Sus scrofa: one gene and its partners. The main gene of each other region encodes a partner of the protein of the gene in region 3 in a complex. Links are inferred from orthologs where the notes say so. Each region holds a gene or a part of one and is shown on either strand. Other genes may lie near its edges. The genes, in order: RIPK3, RIPK1 and MEFV.

Region 1 (7,990 bases), on a different chromosome or scaffold from region 3:
GGAAACAATCCAACTAGGAACCATGAGATTGTGGGTTTGATCTCTGGCCTCGCTCAGTGGGTTAAGGATCCAGCACTGCCGTGAGCTGCGGTGTAGGTTGCAGACGCGGCTCGGATCCCACGTTGCTGTGGCTCTGGCATAGGCCGGTGGCTACAGCTCCGATTCAACCCCTAGCCTGGGAACCTCCATACGCTGTGGGAGTGGCCCAAGAAATAGCAAAAAGACAATAAATCAATCAATCAATCAATCAATCAATCAGTGCACTCACTGATTCAGCTGTGTTCTTTTTGTAGATGGATGATCTATGTGTTTTCTCTCTAGCCTTTAGATTGTCTTAATTGTTCTGTTTTTTTTTTCATCTTTCTCAGCATAACTGTTCTTCCTATATTTGCAAATTCTTGTCTTTCCTCAATTCTTGAAATTTTTCAGCCATTTGCTTCTCAAATATTGCCTTGCCTCCATTTTTTTCTCTTCTCCTCATGAGGTAGGCAATTTGATGATTGTTATTTGCCTCTAGATTTTTTATCTCTGTGTCTCTGCTGATGTGTTCTGATGTTTTTTTGTTTTTGTTTTGTCTTTTTAGGGCCGCACCCGCGGCATTACGGAGGTTCCCAGGCTAGGGGTCCAATTGGAGCTACAGCTGCCAGCCTATACCACAGCCACAGCAACACAGGATCCAAGCTGCTTCTGCAACCTACCCTGCAGCTCATGGCAATGCCGGATCCTTAACCCACTGAGAGAGGCCAGGGATCGAACCCACAACCTCATGGTTTCTAATCAGATTTGTTTCTGCTGCACCACAATGGAAGCTCCTGATGAATTTTTTTTTTCAGATCCATCTTTTAGTACACTTTCTTCAGCTATATCTTCTGCATTGCAGTTTTAATTTTAACGGATGGGCACATATAATTTTTTTTATTTCTTGATATTCTGTTTTTTCCCTAAGTCTAGTTGGACATTTTTATAATCTCTTATTTCATGCTAATTTTTTTTCTATTCCATCTTTTATTTCTTTAAACATTTCGCAATAACTTCTTTAGAGTCTTCATCTGATTGTCCCAAACTCTGAAATCCTTAAAGATTTAAACCCGTTGATGGGAGTTCCCATCGTGGCTCAGTGGTTAACGAATCTGACTAGGAACCATGAGGTTGCAGGTTCGATCCCTGGCCTCGCTCAGTGGGTTATGGACCCAGCCTTGCTGTGGCTCTGGCAAAGGCTGGTGGCTACAGCTCCGATTAGACTCCTAGCCTGGAAACCTCCACATGCCACCAGTGCAGCCCTAGAAAAGACGACCAAAAAAAAAAAAAAAAATGCCAAGAGAGTTCAAAATTTACGGGGCCCTGAGGTCCAAGCTAAGGAGCAAGTGGAGGCCTGGAAGATTGTAGCTATGCCCAAGGCAGGCAGATAAACACAATAACACCTTTATGGCTTGAAGGTGTATGAACAGCACCTCAGCCTGTACACCTACCTGCACCTGCAGCTCAGAATGGACCCCTAGCCTGGAAACTTCCATATGCTGCAAGTGCAGCCCTAAAAAGAAAAAAAAAAAAATCCTAAATAGTTTGCAAATAGCATGGACTGACGTCACTAGAATTCATGATGTAGATCCCGGAGTTCCAGTTGCTCTAGAAACCTCAGTTAAACGCTGGCCACTTTTGCTCCAACTAACAGAGCCCATGAACCACTGGACAGAATGGAAAGTTCATACCAAGGTGAGCACCGTCCTGTGAGAGCTGGCCCATGACCCACAGGGTTGGGTCTCCTGTAAAGGAATGAAAGCCCAAGACTAGCCATATCTAGCTCTACAACCTCCAGCTATTGTCAGGCTTTGGGCAGGTAATCTATGGACACCTTTTATCTACTCTAAATCCTTAAGGTTCCCCCAAGCTCCTGAGTTCTCCAAGGCCCTTGTCCAGAGCACATGCTTGTCAGGAATATTTATTAACCAGAGAATTTTCCCTGAGGAATTGCTGCAGGAGGAGAGGGCAGGCAGGCTCTGAGGTGTTCCACTGCAGTGTACACCACCAAGTCAGCAATTCTTTTTGCTGGGTCAATTCCTCTCGCTGACCACAATGCCCTAGGAGTGGGTCTTGGTCTTGCCAGCAGACAAATCACCACCAGTGGCAGGAATACATACAGGGACTCCCACTACACTGCTGGATGCTTCATACCTTCCTCAGACACCTTCACGACCAGCTGAAGCTTATATGAATATAGCAAAGTTTGATGGTTCAGAGAACCCTCCTGCACTGCTGGTGAGAAATTAAGCTGGTACAGCCACTACGGAGAACAGTATGGAGGTACCTTAGAAATCTATACATAGAACTTCCATATGACCCAGCAGTCCCACTCTTGGGCATATATCTGGACAAAACTTTCCTTAAAAAAGGCACAGGCACCCATATGTTCATTATAGCACTATTCACAATAGCCAAGACATGGAAACAACCCAAATGTCCACTGACAGACAATTGGATTAGGAAGATGTGGTATATATACACAATGGAATACTACTCAGCCATAAAAAAGAACAACATAATGCCATTTGCAGCAACATGGATGGAACTAGAGACTCTCATACTGAGTGAAATAAGTCAGAAAGAGAAAGACAAATACCACATGATATCACTTATAACTGGAATCTAATATACAGCACAAATGAATCTTTCCACAGAAAAGAAAATCATAGAATTGGAGAATAGACTTGTGGCTGCCAGGGGGAGGGATGGGAGGAGGAGGAGGGATCAAGAGCTTGGGGTTAATCTATGCAAACTATTGCTCTTGGAATGGATTTACAATGAGATCCTGCTGTGTAGCATTGAGAACTATATCTAGATACATCACAACACAACAATGGGAGGGAAAAGTATGTATACATGTATGTTAACTTGTACCCCACGCTGTACAGTGGAAAATAAATAAATAAATAAATAAGTACTTATCCCCTTAGAGTTGACATGCGAATTAAATAGCTAATATATGTACATGGCGTGTGGTGCGCTTTAGAAATGTGTTAGCTCTGACCTTAGGGCAGCTGTAGGAGAGCTGAGTCCTAGGCCCCTAACATGCTCCTCAGCACTGAATCCTCAGCACCAGCAGGCTTGGTGGTTGAGCTAGGAATCCTGCGGAAGAAGGAAACGACACCATTTGTAGGAGGCTGTTGATTATATGTTCCTGGAAAGTGAGGACGCCTTCTGTGGCGATCTAAAAAGGGGCAACTAACCCGGAAGCAGCACGTTCTGAAAACCACTTGCTTCCTTTCTGCACCCCGCCCGCATCCCCGTCCCGGTCTCCCCGCCCCCGTCCGTCCCCCCCCCCCCCCCCCGCCCCCAAGGGCAGGACTGCAGAGGCCTCCGTCAAAGAGGAAGTCGGTCTGGCTGAGTAGAGAGAACAACCTGGGGAGCCGGGAAGCGGATTCCGGGAAGCGGAGTCTGTGACGGGGCTTGGAGATTGATTCCTCTCCCAGCGCCGCCCCCCTTTCCGTGTGGGCTCTCAACTTCCAGAACCCTCTGCACCTACCAACTTGATGTCCGGCGTTAAGTTATGGTGAGTAAAGAGTGAGATATGGATCTGGAGCCACCCCCCCACCACACACACACACACACACACACACACACACACACACACACAATAGGCACCCCGCGGGCTCACTCAGGGGATGCCACCCACCCATGTGCCAAGGCCCCGGGGCATAGTGGGTTTCACGGGGGAGGCTGGGGATTGAACTGACCATATGCAGTCATGGGGGTCACGGGGATGGGGTGGCATGGGGAACAGCAGTGCTGACTTGGGGGTCATGGCCAGCTGATGACCAGGCCTCCTCTCACAGGCACGTTGGTGCTTCAGCGCCCCTGGTGCCCATCGAGGACTTGGAGAACCCGAAGTTCATCGGCAAAGGAGGATTTGGCACGGTCTTCCGGGCGCAGCACAAGACTTGGGGTTTAGACGTGGCGGTCAAGATCGTTAACTCGTGAGTGACCCAAGCTGCTGGCAGCTGGTGCCAGCCAGGTGTTTGGTGGAGAAGGCAGGCCGCTGTAACTCAGGGCCAGGGTGGGAAAGGGAAGGGTCTACCCAGAAGCTGAGCAACTTCTCAGAAGCAGACTCCAACTCTCTTCTGATTGCAGGCAGGCGATATCCAGGGAGGTGAAGGCCATGGCAGGTCTGCATAACAGCTATGTGCTGCTCCTGCTGGGGATCACAGAGAAGCTGGAGTGGGACTATGTATCTGGGCCGGCTCTGGTGACTCAGTTCATGGAGAATGGTTCCCTGGCGGAGCTGCTACAGCCCCAGTGCCCTCGTCCCTGGCCGCTTCTCTGCCGCCTGCTCCAGGAGTTGGTGCTCGGGATGTGCTACCTGCACAGCCAGGACCCTGTGCTCCTCCATCGGGACCTCAAACCCTCCAACGTCCTGCTAGACTCAGAGCTCCATGCCAAGGTCAGCGCATCCCCGCCCCAGCCCAACCTCTGGACAAAATCCTGCTCCAGAGCTGCTCCAGCTCCACTCACTGGACATGAGACCTATCTGCTGCAGCCCAGGATACCCTCAGCAACTCCCTCTGGATATAGGGCTGCCATCCAGGAGCTTTAGCTGCTGCCATACCAGGTGATAGAGGCCTTGACCAACATGGTCAGTTCCACTGTGTTAGAACCCACTAGGACCTCCAAACACCCATGGCTAACCTAGCTTAGGAGGCTCAAATCTTGACCCAGCCCCATGGAGAGAGGACCCAGACCTCCAACCAAGGGCCCCACTTGTCCTACCACTTCTCTAACCCTCCACACCCCCTTTCCAGGGCTGGACCTAAACATTCTATGGGGTAGTGGGAAGAAAGTTCTGGAGGCTGCCTGGCCCTATCCATCCGTATCTCTTCCTTCTTATCTCCCTTTGCAGCTAGCAGACTTTGGCCTGTCCACATTTCAGGGAGGTTCACAGTCAAGGGCAGAATCTGGGGAATCAGGTTGCACCCCAGCCTACTTGGCCCCAGAACTGCTGGCTGATATAAACCGAAAGGCCTCCATGGCCAGTGATGTCTACAGGTAAGGTACCCACTCCACATACACATCCCAATTTCTACACCTCTCTGGGTCCTTCTGAGGGACAATATATGGAAGGGAGTCTTGCCAGCAGTTGGGTCAGGCCTCAGCTTTTGTCTCCTGCAGCTTTGGGATCCTGATGTGGGCGGTGCTAGCCGGAAGAGAAGCTGAGGGTAAGACTCCAGGCAGACTCTGGGATCCCGAATCTCAGGTGTCCCCCTCCTCCAAGCCCCCACCCCCCCAAGCTCTCCTCTTCCTATTGACCTGCTCACACTGCCCTACTCCCTCCTCACCTCTCCTTGGACTGTACTCCCTGCCCCTTTCCATGATGGGCAGGTGGCCCTCACTCTCTGAATGCCTTCTCTCCACGTCCCCCACCCCCTCCCCAGTGGCGACCCAGATATCACTGGTGCGGGAAGCAGTGTGTGAAAGGCACGTCCGACCCCCATTGGATGAACTGCCCCAGTCTGGCCCTGAGAATCCTGGTTTGGAAGGACTGAAGGATTTAATGCAGCGCTGCTGGAGCCATGACCCCCGGAATAGGCCCTCCTTCCAAGGTGCGCTGGCCATTTAGTTGGCAGCTGAGGTAGGCCTGGGTCTGTCCGCAGGGGGCTCTTCCCTGATAATGAAGCTATGCTCACCCACCACCCATTCTGCCTTCTCTCCAGACTGCCGACCCAACACCCAGGGAGCCCTCGATCTGGTAATGAAACAAGATGTAACTTGTAAGAAGATGAATGCCGCGGTCTCCACAGTGAGTGTCTAGCACCCCTAGGAGCTGGGCAGGGAAGGCACAGCATGGCTTCCTTGGCCACCCAATGACTCCCCGCTGACTGTTGTTCTCTAAGCCTTGACTCTCATGCCCACTCCCCCCAACCCATCCCTGAGTTCCCAGGCAATGGACATGGGCCAAGAGGCTCCTCCCTTGGGTTAACCCTGGCTCTCCCACCTCCATGCCCAACCAGCTCTCCATCCTTACAGGTGAAGGAGTTCTTGTCTGAGCACAAGAGCAGCAGCAGCTTGTTGTCTGTCCGTGAGCCAGGCCTGGAAAGTCCAGAAATGGATGGCCTTAGGGGGAGCACAGGAAGCCATGATTCTGTGGTCTCTGAAATGATGAACAGCCTGAACCTGGAGGAGTACCCCAGCTCTGTTCCTGAAAAATGTACAAACCCTCCTGAGAGGATCAGGGCCCAGAAAGAGCAGGTTCAGCCTACCTGGACAGCAGAGATACCTTCAGATTCAACAGCCCAACCTCCTCAAACCCCAGAGACCTTACCTTTCATGAGCCAGAAGCCCAGCCACACCTCAGCTTGGCCCCCAGGCCCTGGACCCCAAGAGAATCAGGTGAGACCTTGGCAGGACTCAAGGATGCACTAGGACTCCTGTGAATCCTGTCCCCTTGCCAGGGAAAACTTGGGGCTGCAGTAGGGGAACAGGCCCAGGGACAGGGAGCCTGATGGCACTGTGTTGTCTGTAGGGGCCTGAAAGACGTGGCACCAACTGGTCTCCCATGGCACCAGGGCCAAATCCAATATCAGGTACCCATTCCCCATTCCCTCCTTTCCTCTGCTCAATTCTTCCACCAGCTTCTTCCTCAAGATCAAATATAGATCCAGGGTACTTGGGGAGGGGGATGAGAAAGGGCTAGAGGTCACCTACCCCAACTTTCTCATCTTATAAATGAAGAAACTGGGATTGGGTCCCACTTAGGTCACACAGCAAAGCCTGGATTTGCCCCTGAGCCTTCTGACTTTCCAGCTCTGTGAACCTCTAAATTCCATTGCTGCTATGTAGGCCCAGAGGGCCACCCAGCAGAAAAGACCCAAATGTCAGCGTCTCAGATGTTCGTTGCCACTCCTCTTGAGCTTCTGCAAACCCAATTCTGAAACCCGAAAGGGAAGACCCAAGGCACTCCTTGACACAGTCGTGGGCAGGCCCAGAGACTGCCTACTTGCATTTCCCCAGGGTGAACACAAGGTGCCGCTGCCCCCCACCCTGCCGCTCCTCCTCGCTTAGACTCTCAGATCTGTACCCTTTAACCCTCCCTCGAGCATCACTGTTTCTCTTAAAGGGCCATGGTCTTCTCAGTTACTTTACAACCAAGGGGTGCAGATTGGAAACAGCAACTACATGGTTATAAAAGGAAGAACTGCCTCATCCACGCGGGGCCCGGTACCTTGGGGCATGAAGAAGGGCCCCCAGCACAAGTAGCTTTCAAACAACTAGAAAGAAGGACTGCAAGAAACGGAAGCCTGGAGTGGGCCACAGGGCTGGTATCATGATAGCAGTATCAAAGCAGCTTCTGAACTGCCTTCTGGAAAACCCAGCATTCTCTGAGGGTCATTAGGCCTGTACCCGAACTGTCTTTGTTCCCCCAGGACTCAATAAACTTGGTGGAATTTTAGCCCAAGCACTGTACAGGAGGCTAAAGCTTCAGCCAGGGGAGGGAAAGGGACATGGATGAGAGACCGGGGAGCTGACATCGAGGGAGTGGGAGGTACTGCCCTTCAACCACAACCACGGACCACAACCAACCGGAAGCAGGATGCTGGGAATGGGCAATGTTGTGGCACACAAGGTCAAGGCCCAGCCGGTGGCAGGAAGGAATCCTGGAGGCCTATCTCCTGGGGCTGCTCTAATCTCAGGGCAAAGCATTTCCTGTAGGGCAGGTCAAGACCCCACCCCAAACCAAACCCTGGATGTAGAGGCTGTGGCCCAGCCACCCACCTTTTCTTGTGGGCTATGGAGGCTTGGCAGTGGGGTCCTGGGGAGGGGGTTCTCCATGGGAACTCGCAGTCCCCAGCACATCTTTGCCCTGCACGATGCCCCTAGTCTCTCACAGGTCAGCCTCCATATTACCACTCCCTCCCCCAGGTACACCCACGCACACATTGCTGTAACACGGAGGCCTCAGAACCCTTTGATTCCCTGCTGGTGTCTAGGAGTGGAGAGCAAT
Region 2 (7,990 bases), on a different chromosome or scaffold from region 3:
CTCCGGTGGCCCTGCCATCCCAACAAAGCTCACGTATCAGCACAATTAGGTGACACCCTGAGTCATTTTCCCGTAACATGAGACATTTCGAAACAAGAGGAAGCACCCTCTGGAAAGACACGTGTCTGTGGGGCGGAGACAGGGTTTGGGGGAGGTGCCCAGATAAGGACAGGGAGACAGAGGGGACAGGAGAGGCAGACACCGAAGGTGAGGGCGCCTAAGCCATAAGGACAGTGGCTCTTCTCCTGTATGAACTCAGGCTTTTTAACTTAGCAGCCCTGTGTCTTAGGTAACTGACATAAGCCTCAACTTCCTCATTTGCAAAAGGAAATAACAGTGCCTCTCTCAAAGATTGTAAAGATCGTGTGAGAAAAAAATACATGAAAATACACTCACTGCCTGCTTCGCGGCTCTGGCCCCGGTTGGCCCAGCCACACCTGTCCACGCGCATCCCCTCCCTGGCCCTGCGGCCGCCAGTGCGCAGCCGGGGTCCCTCTTCTCAAGCAGCTCTCTGCTGACCCGTCTTGGGGGGCGGGGGGACAGAGTTTTTGATCGTTCCCCCCATAAGCCCTGCGGGGACACTTCCCTCTCCGGGCCAGAAGCTGCTCCTCCTTCTGGCCTCAGAAATGCCATTTCCTCCTGCGCAGGGTTCCTTCAATTAAGCTCACAGAAAACAGGAAACTGTGTGAGGCCGTCTACAGCGCCCGGCACAGAAACTGACACATGGCAGCTGGTCACCAAATGAGCTCGTGTCTTAAAAAAAAAGAACTACTGGCAGTTCCCGTCGTGGCGCAGTGGTTAACGAATCCGACTAGGAACCATGAGGTTGAGGGTTCGATCCCTGGCCTTGCCCAGTGGGTTGGGGATCCAGTGTTGCCTTGAGCTGTGGTGTGGATCGCAGACACGGCTCAGATCCCGAGTTGCTGTGGCTGTGGTGTAGGCCGGTGGCTAAAGCTCTGATTCAACCCCTAGCCTGGGAACTTCCATGTGCCATGGGAGCAGATCAAGAAAAGGCAAAAAGACCAAAAAAAGAACTAGAATTGTTCAAAGATAAAGACTAGAGTTAAGCGGATTCAAGCATATTCACAAGCTGTACCACTATACAGCCAGTGCATGACAGGGTGGATGGGTGGGCAGACCGACAGACACAGGCCCAGGAGAAAAGATACAGAGAAAGACCCTGACGGGTGAGCAGGAATTTTATTTGGATGGTTGGGTGATTCTTTCTTCTCTACACTTTTACTACATTTTCCAAGTTTTCTACAATAAACATGAATTATCTTCGTAATGAATTTTTTGGCCTCACCCACGTCATATGGGCGTTCCTGGGCCAGGGATCAAACCTGCCCCACAGCAGCTACCTAAGCCGCTGCAGGAACAACACTGGATCCTATACACCACAGGAGAACTCCGACAGATCTGTTTTAAAGGAAATAATTCCTTCACTGTGCAGTTCTTTATTCTAAGGAATCAGGTGCTGGCATAGATTATGCACAAAGATGCTCCCGGTAACACTACGAAGAACAGCAAAAGAACAGAAAACAACTGACGTGCGCAGAATAAGGGAGAGTAAGTTATACGGCCAATTCGCACCATGAAATACATCCAGCAGTTTTCAAAAATGGTGGTAGGGTATGCATGTTTAGTAATATTACAAAAGGCTCACAGACCGAGTAAAGAAACAGAAAGGAATTACACCCATGCCTTGAAAGAGGCCCAGCGGGGTGTCAGGATTCAGGAGGATGAGGTTCCAGCTGCTCTCTCTCCTTCAGCCCAGATCTTGGCTCCTCAGAGCCACCAAGACCAGCGGGGACTTGTAGCACCCCCTGCAGGCAGGATGCGCTCGGTGGGGGCGGCTCCCGACCTGGGCTGGTTCTCCTCGGGCTGCGGTTTGCTGGTTGAGGCTGGTCTGACCTAACTTCTGCTCCTTTGCATGCTGTCCAATGATTTCTTGAGATTGTACTGTTGCCCCCGCCCCCCGTTTCCTCTTGAATGATTCAACTTTATAAACACTGAATAATTTAGGAAGGATTGTGTGTGAGTGATTTAGAAACCCAAGAGTCACAAAAACACAATGCAGGCAGAAAACCAGACGATAAAGCCCGTTACAGAGGGGTCAATAAAAGCCAGCCGGCCAGTTGTCAACTTGCGATTAACTAATTTCCACAAGAACGTGAATATATCTCATTTAATGGGGTTTCTTAAGATTTCTGCATAAGTATATTTTTGTTTGTTTGTTTTTTAGGGCCGCACCCACAGCATACAGAGGTTCCCAGGCTAGGGGTCCAATCCGAGCTGTAGCCACCAGCCTACACCACAGCTACACCACCACCAGATGGGAGCCGCCTCTGCGACCTACACCACAGCTCATGGCAACGCCGGATCCTTAACCCACTTGAGCGAGGCCAGGGATCAAACCCTCAACCTCATGGTTTCTAGGTGGTTTCTGCAGCACTGGTGACGGGAACTCCTGCATAAGTGTATTTAATTCAGGGACTCAGGAAAGCAATCTTTTCCACTGAAGTTAACTGAAACTTCACTAATGACCTTCAAAGGCACGACAGGTCTAGGTATCAAAATATTTATAGCTATATTCCATTTTGTTTCTCACTATACCTCAGTAAAGCTGGGGGGACATGTGAATTGTTAATAATAAATAATAACACCAAAACGCCAACAAAACTGATCTATGACCCTAACAGTCGGGAGAGTGGCTCCCGGGGGGCGGGGGCGGGGGGGACCAGGAGGCTCTAACTGACACGAGGTTCGAGGGATTGCGGGCAGCAGTGTCTTACTTGGTCAGGTTCCCTCTGCGATGCGCAAGAGAGCAGTTAGGCCCTGTGCACTTTTCTATGTAAACATTTTAAAAAGCGACTCCAAATACTCATAGTCACCTTTAAGTGGGAAGGAGTATTTTCTCCATTTTACAATGATGACCGTAGGTAATGAGTCTGACGGAAAATGCTGCCCATCGCTGCCCTCCTTTCCCTGCTGACAGTACTCTGATTTGACTCAAGTGTCCAAGGGTTCTTTGCTTATAACCCCTTGAGGCTTTGCCCCAGATAAACAAGAGCTCCGAGCAAGGAACATCCCAATGATAAGTAAGACAGAATGACAGGAAGCGTTCCAGCCAGCCTCCCCAGGTACCTTAGGACACTGCGGCCTAACGGTAAAGGCAGTAACTCCTGGAGTTGAATGATGCCTCTAACACGGCAGAGTCTTTCCTCTCTCCACTCAAACTTCCGCTAACACATACATGCTTCTTCTCTAGGGAGCAAACCATAACCTTTGTTAAAATCACGTGCAAGAACCTCATCTCACAAACTTGCTCACCCCTGAGAAACACACACATCAAAGTGTGTGGTTCCAGATCAGCTTTCTGCAGGTTATAACACGATCATTTTTGCCGGAGAATAACATCCAACCAGAGCGTGGGAAGCTTTGTGTTTTTTCAAATTCCCCGATCACACTGGCCGTATCAACAGTGTCGCGGATTAATAAGCCCCAATCGGAAATTGGCGATTTCCGAACTCGATGTTTAGGGACTTTTTCTTCACTCTCCCGGATGTCCCCAATCCTCCAAGTACAACGTGCCGCAGAGGAAAATGGAGACAAGTTAAAAGCGTTACTGCTGCCTCGTCAGTGATAACTAATGACGCTGCCGCTGTACCCCATCATTTTATTTTGAACGAACTCAGTCTTCACCTTTACTGTCTGGAAGAGCTGCCCTTCCCCGCACGTATAACTGACCACGACTGTCTCCCTTTCTTTTGCACCTACCTGATGGTTACAAAATGCAGATCAAGCACGAAGTCACTCTACAGGGCCAAGTTCACTCCTGCCTTGATTTCTCCGAGTGTAAAACTTGGGGTAAGAACAGTGGTCTAAAGACCGAAGAACTTCGGCAAAGTTGGTTGAGTGCAAAGGCTTCAGGCTTTGTCCAAGATACACAAGAGCTCTGAGCAAGGAGCTGCCAAACGATCAGCAACAGGCCGAGACAACCAACCACCACGCCTCCGGCGGGGTTTTGTCCACGGCTCAGGGAAGAAGAACTTAGCTCGCCCTCTTCAAAAACTCCGACGAGGTCGTGGAGCGCTTGGTAAGAGCAAACGCCACTGGCCACGGACGAGGCCTCCTGGGGTTACGACATCCTGCCCCTTCGTCGCTGTGGACCCTTCTCTCCCACTTGCCGGCTCCCGGCCGAGGCTACGCGGAAACGCCCCCGTCCCGCGAGCCGCGGCGGCCCCAGGCCCCAGGCGAAGGTCCTTCCGAAGGGCGGTAAGGAGGCCGGGCTCAATGACACCGCCGTGAAACCCCACCTCCCCCACCAGCTCGACAGCGGGAACGGCGTCGGTTGGTTCCAACATCACAGGGGAGGCAGGGCTCCGCCCTCGGACCGCCAGACCGAAACCACCCGCCAGCGGGGAGCCGCCGCGCTGCGGCCAGGTAACCGGCCCGCGCCCGACTTCCGGGAACGCCTGGGCCACGCCCACCCCGCGCGGACCGCCGGCCGACTTCCGGGAAGGCCTGGGCCACGCCCACCGCCAGACCCCGGGAGCGCCGCGGGCCGCGCCCAGCACCCGTCGCCGGACCCGCGTCCCTGGTCCGACCCGCGGAGAACCCCGCCGCCCGGAACGAGGTCGCGGGCCACGCCCACAGCCTGACTTCCGGGAACGCCGACGGCCACGCTCACCACCTGACCGGCCCGCCGCCCCGTCCGTCCGGAACGCGGTCGCCCGCCCGCCGCCCGCGCGCCGGAAGCGGGAGCCCCGCCCTGGGCGGAAGCCGTTCGGGGAACCTGACCGCGGTCCGGGTTCCCAGCGCAGACCCACCGAAGGATTCGCTTTCGCTTCCGCGGGCAGCTTCCCGAGGCCGAGGCGGGGGCCGGGGCCGGGTGGAGGACGAGGCGGCGGGGGCAGTCCAGGATTGCCCCGACGCCCGGCAGCGTCGCCGGCGCGGAGCCTGACGAGGGTCGCCGCGGGCTGAGCCGTCGGCTGCGACACCGGCGGGGCGGCCCCGCGCTCCCCGCCCCCGGCTGCGCGAGCCCGCCGTCCGCCGCCTGCTGCCCCGTGGGTCGGCGCGCTCCGGCCCTCGCGGAGTGGGCCCGCCGGGACCGGCGCTCCAGAAAGCCGATCCGGTGTCCCCGTCGCCTGCGCGCCGACTGAGTGAGCTCGGCCGGAGGAGGGCGTGGACTGCTCGCTCCGCCTTCTGCCCCTGCCCCTGCCCCGGAGGAGGGCGAGCCGAGCGCCCGCCCCGCCGCCGGCCGGGCCTCCTGGACAGCTTTCGGAACCTGGAGTGCGCCCAGCCAGATGTCGCGGCTTTGCTGCGTTTCAGAGCGAGTCCGGAGGCCCGGAGAGGAAGTGCGCGGAGTCTTAGAAACCACTCTTAGAAACCTCCCAGGTGGGGCATGCAGCCCCAGGGGAGTTCTCAGCTCCGCGGGTCAGCGGCGCTGGAACTATAGGCAATTATCATGCTCTCATCTCCCTCACCTGTACAGCGAGGATAATAAAATCTACTCTGGATTTTAGAGTAGAAGAGCAAGGTATTTATTTTGCAGTCTTTTGCAATGATAATTGGGAAGTCTCAAGCAAAATGGGAAATACTTGCTCTAGTGTTACGTTAAAAAGCTTATACACAGCGTGATAACATACTGTAAAACGGTACATACATCAAGAGAATGAGATGCCACAAACTAAGAAAAAGCACATATATTAAAACAGTATTACCCAAAATGAAGTAAAAACCTAAGAAAAGGAACATCGCAGTAAGAAAATGGGCAAAAGATCTGAACAGTCACTTTACCATATAGATGGCATGTGAAAAGATGGTCAATATTAGAAGTCACTAGGAAATTATGAATTTCTTCTTATTCATTTATTTATTTTGGCTGCACTCAAGCAGCATGTGGAAGTTCCTGGGCCTGGGATAGACCCCATGTCATTAAAGCAACCTGAGCCACTGCAGTCACAATGCTGGGCTCTTAACCTGCTGTGCCACGAGAGAACTCCAGAAACTGTGATTTTAAACAGCAATGAGATACCAGTACATCCTATTGACTTAAAATAGACTGCCAACTATTTCTCAAAAAAAAGGTTTATTCATGATCCACAAAGGATTGCATTTCAGGGTCTGCAACTGTAGGAAGCTGTGTGCAAAGCCCCAGCAAAAATGGAGAGGAGGACACTTTTATGGGGACAGAGGAAGTTAGGAGGGCTATAGTTTAAAAAAAAAAAAAGATGCAAATCAAAACTACCATGAGATATCACCTCACACCAGTCAGAATGGCCATCATTAATAAATCCACAAATACCAAGTGCTGGAGGGGCTGTGGAGAAAAGGGAACCCTCCTGCACTGTTGGTGGGAATGTAAACTGGTACAGCCACTATGGAGAACAGTTTGGAGATACCTTAGAAATCTATACATAGAACTTCCATATGACCCTGCAATCCCACTCTTGGGCATCTATCCGGACAAAGCTCTACTTAAAAGAGACACATGCACTTGCATGTTCATTGCGGCACTATTCACAAGAGCCAGGACATGGAAACAACCTAAATGTCCATTGACAGATGATTGGATTCGGAAGAGGTGGTATACATACACAATGGAATACTACTCAGCCATAAAAAAGAATGACATAATGCCATTTGCAGCAACATGGATGGAACTAGAGAATGTCATCCTGAGTGAAATGAGCCAGAAAGACAAAGACAAATACCATATGCTATCACTTATAACTGGAATCTAACATCCAGCACAAATGAACATCTCCTCAGAAAAGAAAATCATGGACTTGGAGAAAAGACTTGTGGCTGCCTGATGGGAGGGGGAGGGAGTGGGAGGGATAGGGAGCTTGGGCTTATCAGACACAATTTAGAATAGATTTACAAGGAGATCCTGCTGAATAGCATTGAGAACTTTGTCTAGATACTCATGTTGCAACAGAACAAAGGGTGGGGAAAAAAATGTAATTGTAGTGTATACATGTAAGGATAACTTGATCCCCTTGCTGTACAGTGGGGAAAAAAAAAAAAAAGTCTGTAGCTTTTCACTGGTTGAGTTGCCTGGAGAGAAGAGGTGTTTTTTCTTCCTCTTGGCCTCTCTGCTGCTGTTGCAGGTATGAGAACTCCCCCTTCTGGCCTCCTCTATTTAAGGTTTTTGTTCTTTGTTCATTTGATTTTTACATTTCCCCCTTTGATCAAGATCTTTCTCTGAAAGCATCTCCATTCAAGCATGAGATTTTTTTGGTGTCAGTGGCTTTTCTGTACCCCAGTGTCAGGAAAGCCCTTTCCTATCTCCCATCAGTGGGAAAGGACACAGATTGCAAACATGCAGAGGTTACACTGGAGTAAGAAGGAGGAGTATGAGAGCTGTCAGGCACTTTTCACCCAAAGTTCATATGTTACCAAGATCAGAGACGCTGGAGATCATCTGAAGTGCTGTGTTGTCAAAGCTTTGGCAACAAACTCCCAACACGCCTGGTCCAGTTATCTTGGGAAAGCTGACTCATCAGATGCCATCTGCTTCAATTCTGGGAAATCTTTACCTTTAGGTCGCCAGATGCTGTACAGGTCCAGTCAGGCTTTGGCTCTTAAATGTAATTGTGTCATGTGAGTCCAAGAGTCAGTTCTTTGGAGTGTGGTGGCACAAGGGTTGGTTAGCAGTACCTGATAGGGCCTTTCCAATAAGGTTGAAGAGTTTGGAGGTGTCTTACTCCCACAGATAAAATCTACTGGTTGCAGGTGTGAGGCTTAAGGTCTTCATTTCCCTGGAGACACTGGAAAGACTACAAAATCATGGTTATTTTTGGTTGAAGTAATTAGATCTTTATGATAGTGGAACAATGCATAGCACTCCTGGGTCAAAAGAGGCAGGCGCCAAGCATAACGTGTGTCCTATGACTATCTCAGACCGTGAGAGTTTATGAATATAAGAAGTGGATCGAAGATTCAGAAGGACCAACGGCAATGCTTTTGGCCAAAGTATTTA
Region 3 (7,863 bases):
GAGCTGTGCCTGGCACAGAGGAAGCACTTTTGAAGGCTGAGTGTATCACTGGCAAAACATCTGTCAGCCAACATTTCCTGAAAAAGAAAGTTTAAACCAGGATGTGCACATGATGCCAACTAAGTGACAGAAGTTCCACCATTTTGCAACCACCACTGTAGCAACTGATTTGGGAAGGGATCATCCAGGAATTCTAATAGCAGCGGGTGAAAGACCATAGAGGCTGAGACATTTCTACACAGCCAGGTTAGTTATTAATTACAAAGACAAAAGGGACCTTTTACAATGGAGAGATCTTAAGGATGCAGGGATGTGCCCTCAGTCTAATAAGGAAGGAAGAATCACACAAATGTGCACTGAAGGACATTTAGCAGACTTTTCAAAACCATTAATGTCTTGAAAGAATTTTAAAAGAACGAAAAAATTTTTAAAAATTCAGGAGTTCCCATCATGGCTCACCAGAAATGAATCTGACTAGTATCCATGAGGACATAGGTTCGATTCCTGGCCTCGCTCAGTGGGTGAAGGATCAGATGTTGCTATGAGCTGTGGTGTAGGTGGCAGACACGGCTCAGATCCCACGTGGCTGTGGCTGTGGCTGCGGCGTAGGCCAGTGGCTACAGCTCTGATGCGACCTCTAGCCTGGAAACCTCCATATGCCACAGGAGCGGCCCTAGGAAGACAAAAAAAAATTTTTTTAACTAAAAAAAATTTTAAAAAATTCTTTAGGTGCGACCCTAAAAAATTAATTAATTTTAAAGGCCAGGGGGATGTGAAAGTGTTCTAGATAAAAGGAGACTTACAGAGACATGACAACTAAAAGCAATGTGTGCCATCTGATTGGATCCTTGTTTGGAAAAAAAAGCCATCAGAGACATTATCAGAACAATTGAGCAATTCGATTATGGACAGGTTGTAGTATTACAAAAACATTAAAGTTCCTCAGTGTATTAATAGTGTTGTGATTATTTAAAATAATATCTGGGAGTTCCCTGGTGCCTCAGCAGGTTAAGGATCCAGTGTCACTGCTGTGGTTCCGGTCGCTGCTGTGGCATGGTTATGATCCCTGGCTTGGGTACTTCTGTGCATCACAGATGCAACCCCCCAAAATAAAAGAAAATTTAAAAATTGATATCCAGGCATACTTATTCTTAGTATTTAGGGTATCTAGGGTATTTGGGTGATATCTTTTTTTTTTCCTTCTGCTCTTTAGGCATATGGAGGTTCCCAGGCTAGGGGTCCAATTGGAGCCATAGCTGCTGGCCTACAGCACAGCCACAGCAACGCCAGATCCAAGCCGCATCTGCAACCTACACCACAGCTCACAACAACATCGGGTCCTTAACCCACTGAGCGAGGCCAGGGATTGAAACCACAACCTCATGGTTCCTAGTCGGACTCATTTCCACTGCGCCATAATGGGAACTCCTGGAGTGATATCTGATATGTTTTAAATTTATTACCAAATGCTTCAGAAAAAAAAGAGAAGTGAAAGCATGTGTGTGTGTGTGTGTGTGTGTGTGTGTGTGTGTGTGTGAGAGAGAGAGAGAGAGACAGAGAATCACCAAACATTATAAAATGTAAACAGCTGGTGATCCTAGGATAAAGGGTATATAAGGGTTCACTGTACTATGCTTTCAACTTTTCTGTGGATTTGAAATTTTTTTTTTTCTTGTCCTTTTAGGGCTGCACCCTTGGCCTATGGAGATTCCCAGGCTAGGGGTTGAATCGGAGCTGCAGCCGCCAGTCTATGCCGCAGCCACAGCAACACAGAATCCGAGCCACATCTGCGACCTACACCACAGCTCATGGCAACACTGGATCCTTAACTCACTGAGTGAGGCCAGGGATCAAACCTTCATCCTCATGGATACTATTCGGGTTCATTTCTGCCAAGCCACAACTGGGAAATCCTGACATTTTTGGAAACAAAATGTCGGGGTAAAAATCAGTGCAGAAAGACGGAGCAGTCAACCAAGGAAGAAGTCAGCCCCCACCCCACACACAACACTTAGCTTCGGAGCCACCGCTGGGGCCCCACACTGGGCTGCGAGCTCTGCCGGATGCCTGTGCGGTTTTTCAGCCCTGTTTCTCTGGCATCCTGGCCCAGGGTCCCAGACACATGCTCAGTAGATGTGCAGGGACAAGAGCGCCCCCTCCGAGGCCTGGGGCTAGGAAGCTGCGGCAGAGGTAGCGCTGGGACAAACAAATCAGGATGGTGGGCCCAGGCCTGTGGCATTTTGAGGCATTCGTGTTGCTGGAAGAACCAGACAACCAGAACAACATTCAAGGGGGAGATAACAGGGCTGGTTTCTGGGCGGTGCCCTTCCAGCCTCACCTGCCTCCTTGGGTTGTACCTGCGGCTCCCCATTCCCCGCTCCACAAAGTCCCAAGAGTCTGCAGGGGAACAGCTGGCCGGAGAAGCTGACTTTCATCATGCTCCTCTCCAGCATGGGACCAGGGGCTCTGTTCCCCCCACTGTACCCCTGTATCCTGGGAGAAGCCAGGGAAGCATCACCATACCTCTCCCAAGATCAAGAACCTGGAATCCAGGAGTTCCTGTGGTGGCCCAGCCGGTTAAGAACCCCAAAGAGTGGCCCTGAGGATATGGATTCGATCCCTGGCTTCACTCAGTGGGTTCAGGATCTGGCACTGCGGCAAGCTGCGGTGTAGGTCACAGATGTGGCCTGGAACCAGGGTTACTGCGACTGAGGTGCAGGCCCGCAGCTGCAGCTCTGACTCAACCCTTAGCCCAGGAAATTCCATATGCCAAGGGTCTAGGCATAAAAAGGAAAGAAAAAAAAAAAAAAAAAACCTGGACTCCAATTCCAGACCCTCCAAGACTTACCCACCGCTCTGCAATCCATCTCAGCCAGTGAGAGCTCAGGTGCCGGCCACCTGTCTGACGGGGCGTGGAGCTCTCCCAGCTGGAAAAGCCTCTGCATCTGTAAGAGAACCCAAGCCAGCCATGACATGCTCATGGCCTTAGTCTCAGTTCCCACCAAAACGGAGAGCATTTCCTGTGCCTTTTCCGTTATTTCACAAGCTACCTCTTCTCACTCACCCTCGGGGCTCCAGGGCAGAGAGCTCAGAAGACAGACAGCTGCCTCCAGGCTCTCCTGGGCCACGCTATGGCCAAGACCCCCAGTGACCATCTGCTCTACTCCCTGGAAGAGCTGGTGCCCTATGACTTTGAGAAGTTCAAGTTCAAGCTACAGAACACCAGCCTGGAGAAGGAACACTCCCGGATCCCCCGGGGCCAACTCCAAACAGCCCAGCCAGTGAAGCTGGCCATGCTACTGGTCACCCACTATGGGGAGGACTATGCTGTGCAACTGACCCTACAGGTCCTGAGGGCCATCAACCAGCATCTCCTGGCAGAGGAGCTCCACAGGGCAATCAGCCCAGGTAAGTGGCCCCATGCCCCCGCAACTTGCTGGCTGCTGGCGGGGTGGGGTGGAAGGCGCAAGAGGGAACTGATGTTTGGACCAGGGCGTCTTGAGTCCAAGGTCTGCCACAACCCTGGTGACTTGAGCCAAGGAAGTGCTTACCCCTCTCTGGTTTTTGGAGGAAAGGTAAGGCTCCCAATGGCTTAACAAACAAAACAAAACAAAACAAAACCCAGAAGGCTGAGGTTCTGACTCTGGAGTGGGATCAGGAGAGGCAGGAGTGGCTGCCCGTTGGTAGAGGCGCCTCGCTTCATTTGTGATTAGCACTCACCCGGAGAGGAACAGCTTTGTTTGGATGATCACAGGGTTGATGGATGAACAGCAGGGTTGATGGGTAATCTCAGTGGTACCCCCTGAATTTCTGCTCTCAGTTCTTCTTTAACGCATGTTACAAAGGTATTTTAAAATTCTCAAAAGGACTCTCTTCTTTCTTTTTCCTTGCTTCCTTTCCTCTTTTGCCTCTTTCCTTCTCTCTCTCTTCCTTTCTTCCTTCATTTCCTGCATCTTTTCTTTCTTTCCTTTTTTCCATCCTTATCTTCCTTCTGCTACTGTTTTGCTGCAACTTTCTGATTTTATGACATTGTAATCAAAGAATGTGGCCAAGTGGTTCCTGTTTTTAAAGACTTTTTTTTTTTGGAGATGGGGGTGCTAAGACATGATTAGTTTAAAAAATTATTCTTTCATATTTGAATTTTTCTTACATTTCTAGACTTTTAAGAATACATCAGGAATACTTTATATGTGCTTCTATGAGGCAGAAGACTTTACATAACATAGAAATTCTCTGCTCTTTGAAAGAGTGATAAAACTAAAGCGTAATCTGAGTCTGGTGTAACCTGATGAGTAGAATTTTTAAGTTAATTTTTTGTATTTTAAAATCTGGTTATTAGCATTTTCATGGTTTCTTACCAGTTCTGGATCCCGTCTGGGTAACATGTTTTCCTAGACACCCAACAGCAAAATGTTTAAGCAACTTTAAATTCTAAGTATTTTTCAAACCAAAAATTAAGGTGCTAATTACAGGTTATTTTCATTTCCTTATTAAAGTAGTTTGAAAACCGTATCCCGGGAAGATATTTCACAGGTTATTTAGACTGTTACCAAATACCTAATTCAGATGTTGTTGTTTTAACTTATGAAACAAATTCATATTAAAATGTATATTAACCAAATTTTAAATACTGGAGGCCATCAGTGTGAAAGTTCGTGCTACACTTGAACTTTTTATGGAGACCCTGGAATTCAGCCTTTCTCGTTGTGTCTGTTTAATTAAACAGTATTCTGAAATTTCTATGCAAGCTGTATTTAACAAAAATTACTATGACGCTTGTCCGAGTTAAGGTTTTCTTTGCCTCATGATACCAAAGGGGAAAAAAACCCAGAAACAAATTAGCTTCTGAAGTTTTAACTGTCCTTCATAACCCCTGATTTCAAATTTGTGTGCCAATCTTTACTGATGGATTTTGTAAGTGGGTTTTGTACGTCGATAAACCACACACGAATGCATACCAATAAACAAATGTTTTCACTTACGCGTTAAGAATTCTTAGCAAGACCTAGGTTTCCCGCCTACAAAAGTTTGAAAAGGGAGTTCCCGTCGTGGCGCAGTGGTTAACGAATCCGACTAGGAACCATGAGGTTGCGGGTTCAATCTCTGCTCTTGCTCAGTGGGTTAAGGATCTGGCGTTGCCGTGAACTGTGGTGTAGGTTGCAGACGCGGCTCGGATCCCACGTTGCTGTGGCTCTGGCGTAGGCCAGTGGCTACAGCTCCGATTGGACCCCTAGCCTGGGAACCTCCATATGCCGCGGGAGCGGCCCAAGAAATAGCAAAAAGACAGAAAAAAAAAAAAGTTTGAAAAGCACTATTTCAGAAGACAGCAAATAATTAGTATGTTTTTATGTAATAGTAACTGACTGCCGACGTCTAGAATGTCCTGAACGTCCCTCATTTCAGGGGGAATTGTCTCTTCTCTCCCCTTCCCCACACCTTGACCCCGAGACTCTTCATGCCTTTTTATCTGTCTTTTCAGAATATCAGATACAAGAAAATGACACAGACAGTTCAGCAACGTCATGCTCCTCTAGGGAGATTAAGCCCAAAAGCCTGAAGATACTGGATGGCCTGGAAGGTGACAAGCAGCGACAGAGCAGTGACGGGGCTGGCTGCCCACCATCCATGCAGCCTGAGGCTGGCAAGGGGCCCCAGAAGAAGCCCCAGGTCAAACGGAGAGATCAGAAAGGCCCTGAGGGCCTAGATGCACAGAGCAAGCCAGGGGCCCGGAACATGACCACGTCTTCCAAGAGAAGCCCACTCCCTAGCAAGCCCCAGGGGGAGAAGGGGAGCAAGCCCGGTGTCAGCCTCCGCAGAAATGCCAGCTCTGCAGGAAGGCTCCAGGGCCTGGCCGGGGGCTCGCTGGCTGGGTCCCTGGGAAGGAGAGAATTTAAGATCTCTGAAGCCTATTTACCCACAGGAAAGAAGCGACCCAAAAGTCTTGAACTGACCATTTCTCCCGGAGAGATAGAATCCCTTCATCCAGAAACACTTCTGCTTCAAGAGAAAATGGGAAGTGAGAATCCAGGCTCAGCAGCCACCCCCAGTGAGATGGCCACTCTGAATGTGTGTGCTCCTGTGGCTCCAGAGAAAGGCTCCAGGAATCTGGAACATTCCATGACCCTGCAGGGGGGTGCACTCAGGAATACACTGTCCAACATATCGTTGGCTGCAAAGAAGAAGACGTGGGAGCGCCCAGAATCCACAGCACCTCCAGAGAAGAAAGGAACTGAGGCTCCAGAGAGCTCCAGGACTGTGGAGGAGGTGGCAGGCGGTGTGCTCCATGTACCTTCAAATCCGAAAGGCCCTCTGTCTTCAGGTAAGAAAGGACCTCAGAATCCAGGAGACTCAGCATCCTTGGGCATAATGACCTGTGCGGGTTTCCCCTATAAACCTCTGTTTATCCCCATTGTGTTTATTCCACTGGACCCCTGGGTGCCCCTTGAGGTCCTCAGCCCTTTGAGAATTTGATGTAGGCTCTGAATCCTGAAAAAAAAAAAAAGTGCACATGCACATCTTCAGGAGATGCTGCCTCCATTTCGGTTAGTTCTCTGTTTTGGGCTGTGCCTGTAGCAAGCGGATGTTCCTGGGCCAGGCATCAAACCCACACCACAGCAGGGACACCACCAGATCCTTTCCGTTAGTTAGTTCTTAGATACACTGATGTCCTTCTTAAGACTTCCCAAGGGCTTCGTGGACTCCAGGTTGAGCATCTGGAAAAGACTGGGTGGAAAGATCACCCTCTCACAATACCCCACGGTAGTATGTCGTGGGGCTGAGATCTTGCCATTGGCCTCTCCGGGCAAGGAGGGAGCTGTTGGCTAAACTCCTTGGGTCTCTTTTACTCAAGAGGCAGAAATTAGGGTTATGATGGGTTGACAGAAGTGCCAAAATAATGTAAGTGAAACAAGTCTGAAGTTTGTCCCCCCTCCATGTAAATGACACATAGGTGGTCCAGGATAAATGTGGTACCCTGTGGCCAGGAACCCAAGCTCCTGCCCTTTTTCTGCTCCACAGAGTTTGCTCTCAAGTTCATGGTCTCCAAGAGCAGCGTCCGCATTCTGGGCAGCGGGATGGAGGCACAAGGGAGAAGACGATCACTCAGGGAAGGTTTTCTCCAGTTTGCAGACACTGCTCATGGTGCCTCTACTTATTCACGTCCTCTTGGCCAGAATGAACAGGCACACCTTGGAAATATCGTGGGTTTGGCTCCAGGCCACTGCACTAAAGCAGATATTGCAATAAAGCAAGTCACATGGATTTGCTGGCTTCCCAGAGTATATTGTTTACACTACACTGTAGCCTATATGAGGTGTGCAATAGTCTTACATCTGAAAAACAATGTACATATCTTATTTTTTATTTATTTTTTTATCTTTTTGTCTTTTCTAGGGCCGCTCCTGAAGCATATGGAGGTTCCCAGGCTAGGGGTCTAATCGGAGCTGTAGCCGCCAGCCTACGCCAGAGCCACAGCAACGCCAGATCCTTAACCCACTGAGCAAGGCCAGGGATCGAACCCACAACCTCATGGTTCCTAGTCAGATTCGTTAACCACTGAGCCACGACGGGAACTCCATTAATTTTAAAACACTTTATTGCTCAACACTCCCCACCTTCTGAGACAGCCCACATTCTGTCTCTGAAGTATCTTTGTGTATAAATCTCTTTCGCTCTAAAAATAAATAAATAGGAGTTCCCTAGTAGCTCAGTGGGTTAAGGATCTGGCATTGTCACTGCAGCAGTTCGGGTCACTGATGTGGACCAGGTTTGATCCCTGGCCCAGGAACTTCCACATGTCCCAGGTGCGGCCAAAAAATATAAATAAATTGATAGCTAGATAAATAAAAATAATTTACTGCTAAA

The links.
Region 1: MEFV (region 3) and RIPK3 share a complex: the UniProt entries of both Homo sapiens proteins name them as parts of the AIM2 PANoptosome complex. The link is inferred for Sus scrofa from reciprocal best matches to the Homo sapiens genes MEFV and RIPK3.
Region 2: MEFV (region 3) and RIPK1 share a complex: the UniProt entries of both Homo sapiens proteins name them as parts of the AIM2 PANoptosome complex. The link is inferred for Sus scrofa from reciprocal best matches to the Homo sapiens genes MEFV and RIPK1.

Annotation. Positions count from the first base shown.
Region 1 is NC_010449.5:74,947,812-74,955,801, forward strand, and holds RIPK3 (receptor-interacting serine/threonine-protein kinase 3), read left to right. Parts: upstream 1-3,333; 5' UTR 3,334-3,527; coding exon 3,528-3,547; intron 3,548-3,830; coding exon 3,831-3,971; intron 3,972-4,125; coding exon 4,126-4,435; intron 4,436-4,891; coding exon 4,892-5,037; intron 5,038-5,160; coding exon 5,161-5,207; intron 5,208-5,423; coding exon 5,424-5,591; intron 5,592-5,702; coding exon 5,703-5,788; intron 5,789-6,015; coding exon 6,016-6,378; intron 6,379-6,511; coding exon 6,512-6,572; intron 6,573-7,105; coding exon 7,106-7,245; 3' UTR 7,246-7,444; downstream 7,445-7,990. UniProt on the Homo sapiens protein: Serine/threonine-protein kinase that activates necroptosis and apoptosis, two parallel forms of cell death. Necroptosis, a programmed cell death process in response to death-inducing TNF-alpha family members, is triggered by RIPK3 following activation by ZBP1.
Region 2 is NC_010449.5:1,838,337-1,846,326, reverse strand, and holds the start of RIPK1 (receptor-interacting serine/threonine-protein kinase 1), read right to left. Parts: upstream 5,185-7,990; 5' UTR 3,781-5,184; intron 3,268-3,780; 5' UTR 3,148-3,267; intron 1-3,147. UniProt on the Homo sapiens protein: Serine-threonine kinase which is a key regulator of TNF-mediated apoptosis, necroptosis and inflammatory pathways.
Region 3 is NC_010445.4:38,931,557-38,939,419, forward strand, and holds the start of MEFV (pyrin), read left to right. Parts: upstream 1-3,064; 5' UTR 3,065-3,131; coding exon 3,132-3,408; intron 3,409-5,479; coding exon 5,480-6,319; intron 6,320-7,863. UniProt on the Homo sapiens protein: Involved in the regulation of innate immunity and the inflammatory response in response to IFNG/IFN-gamma.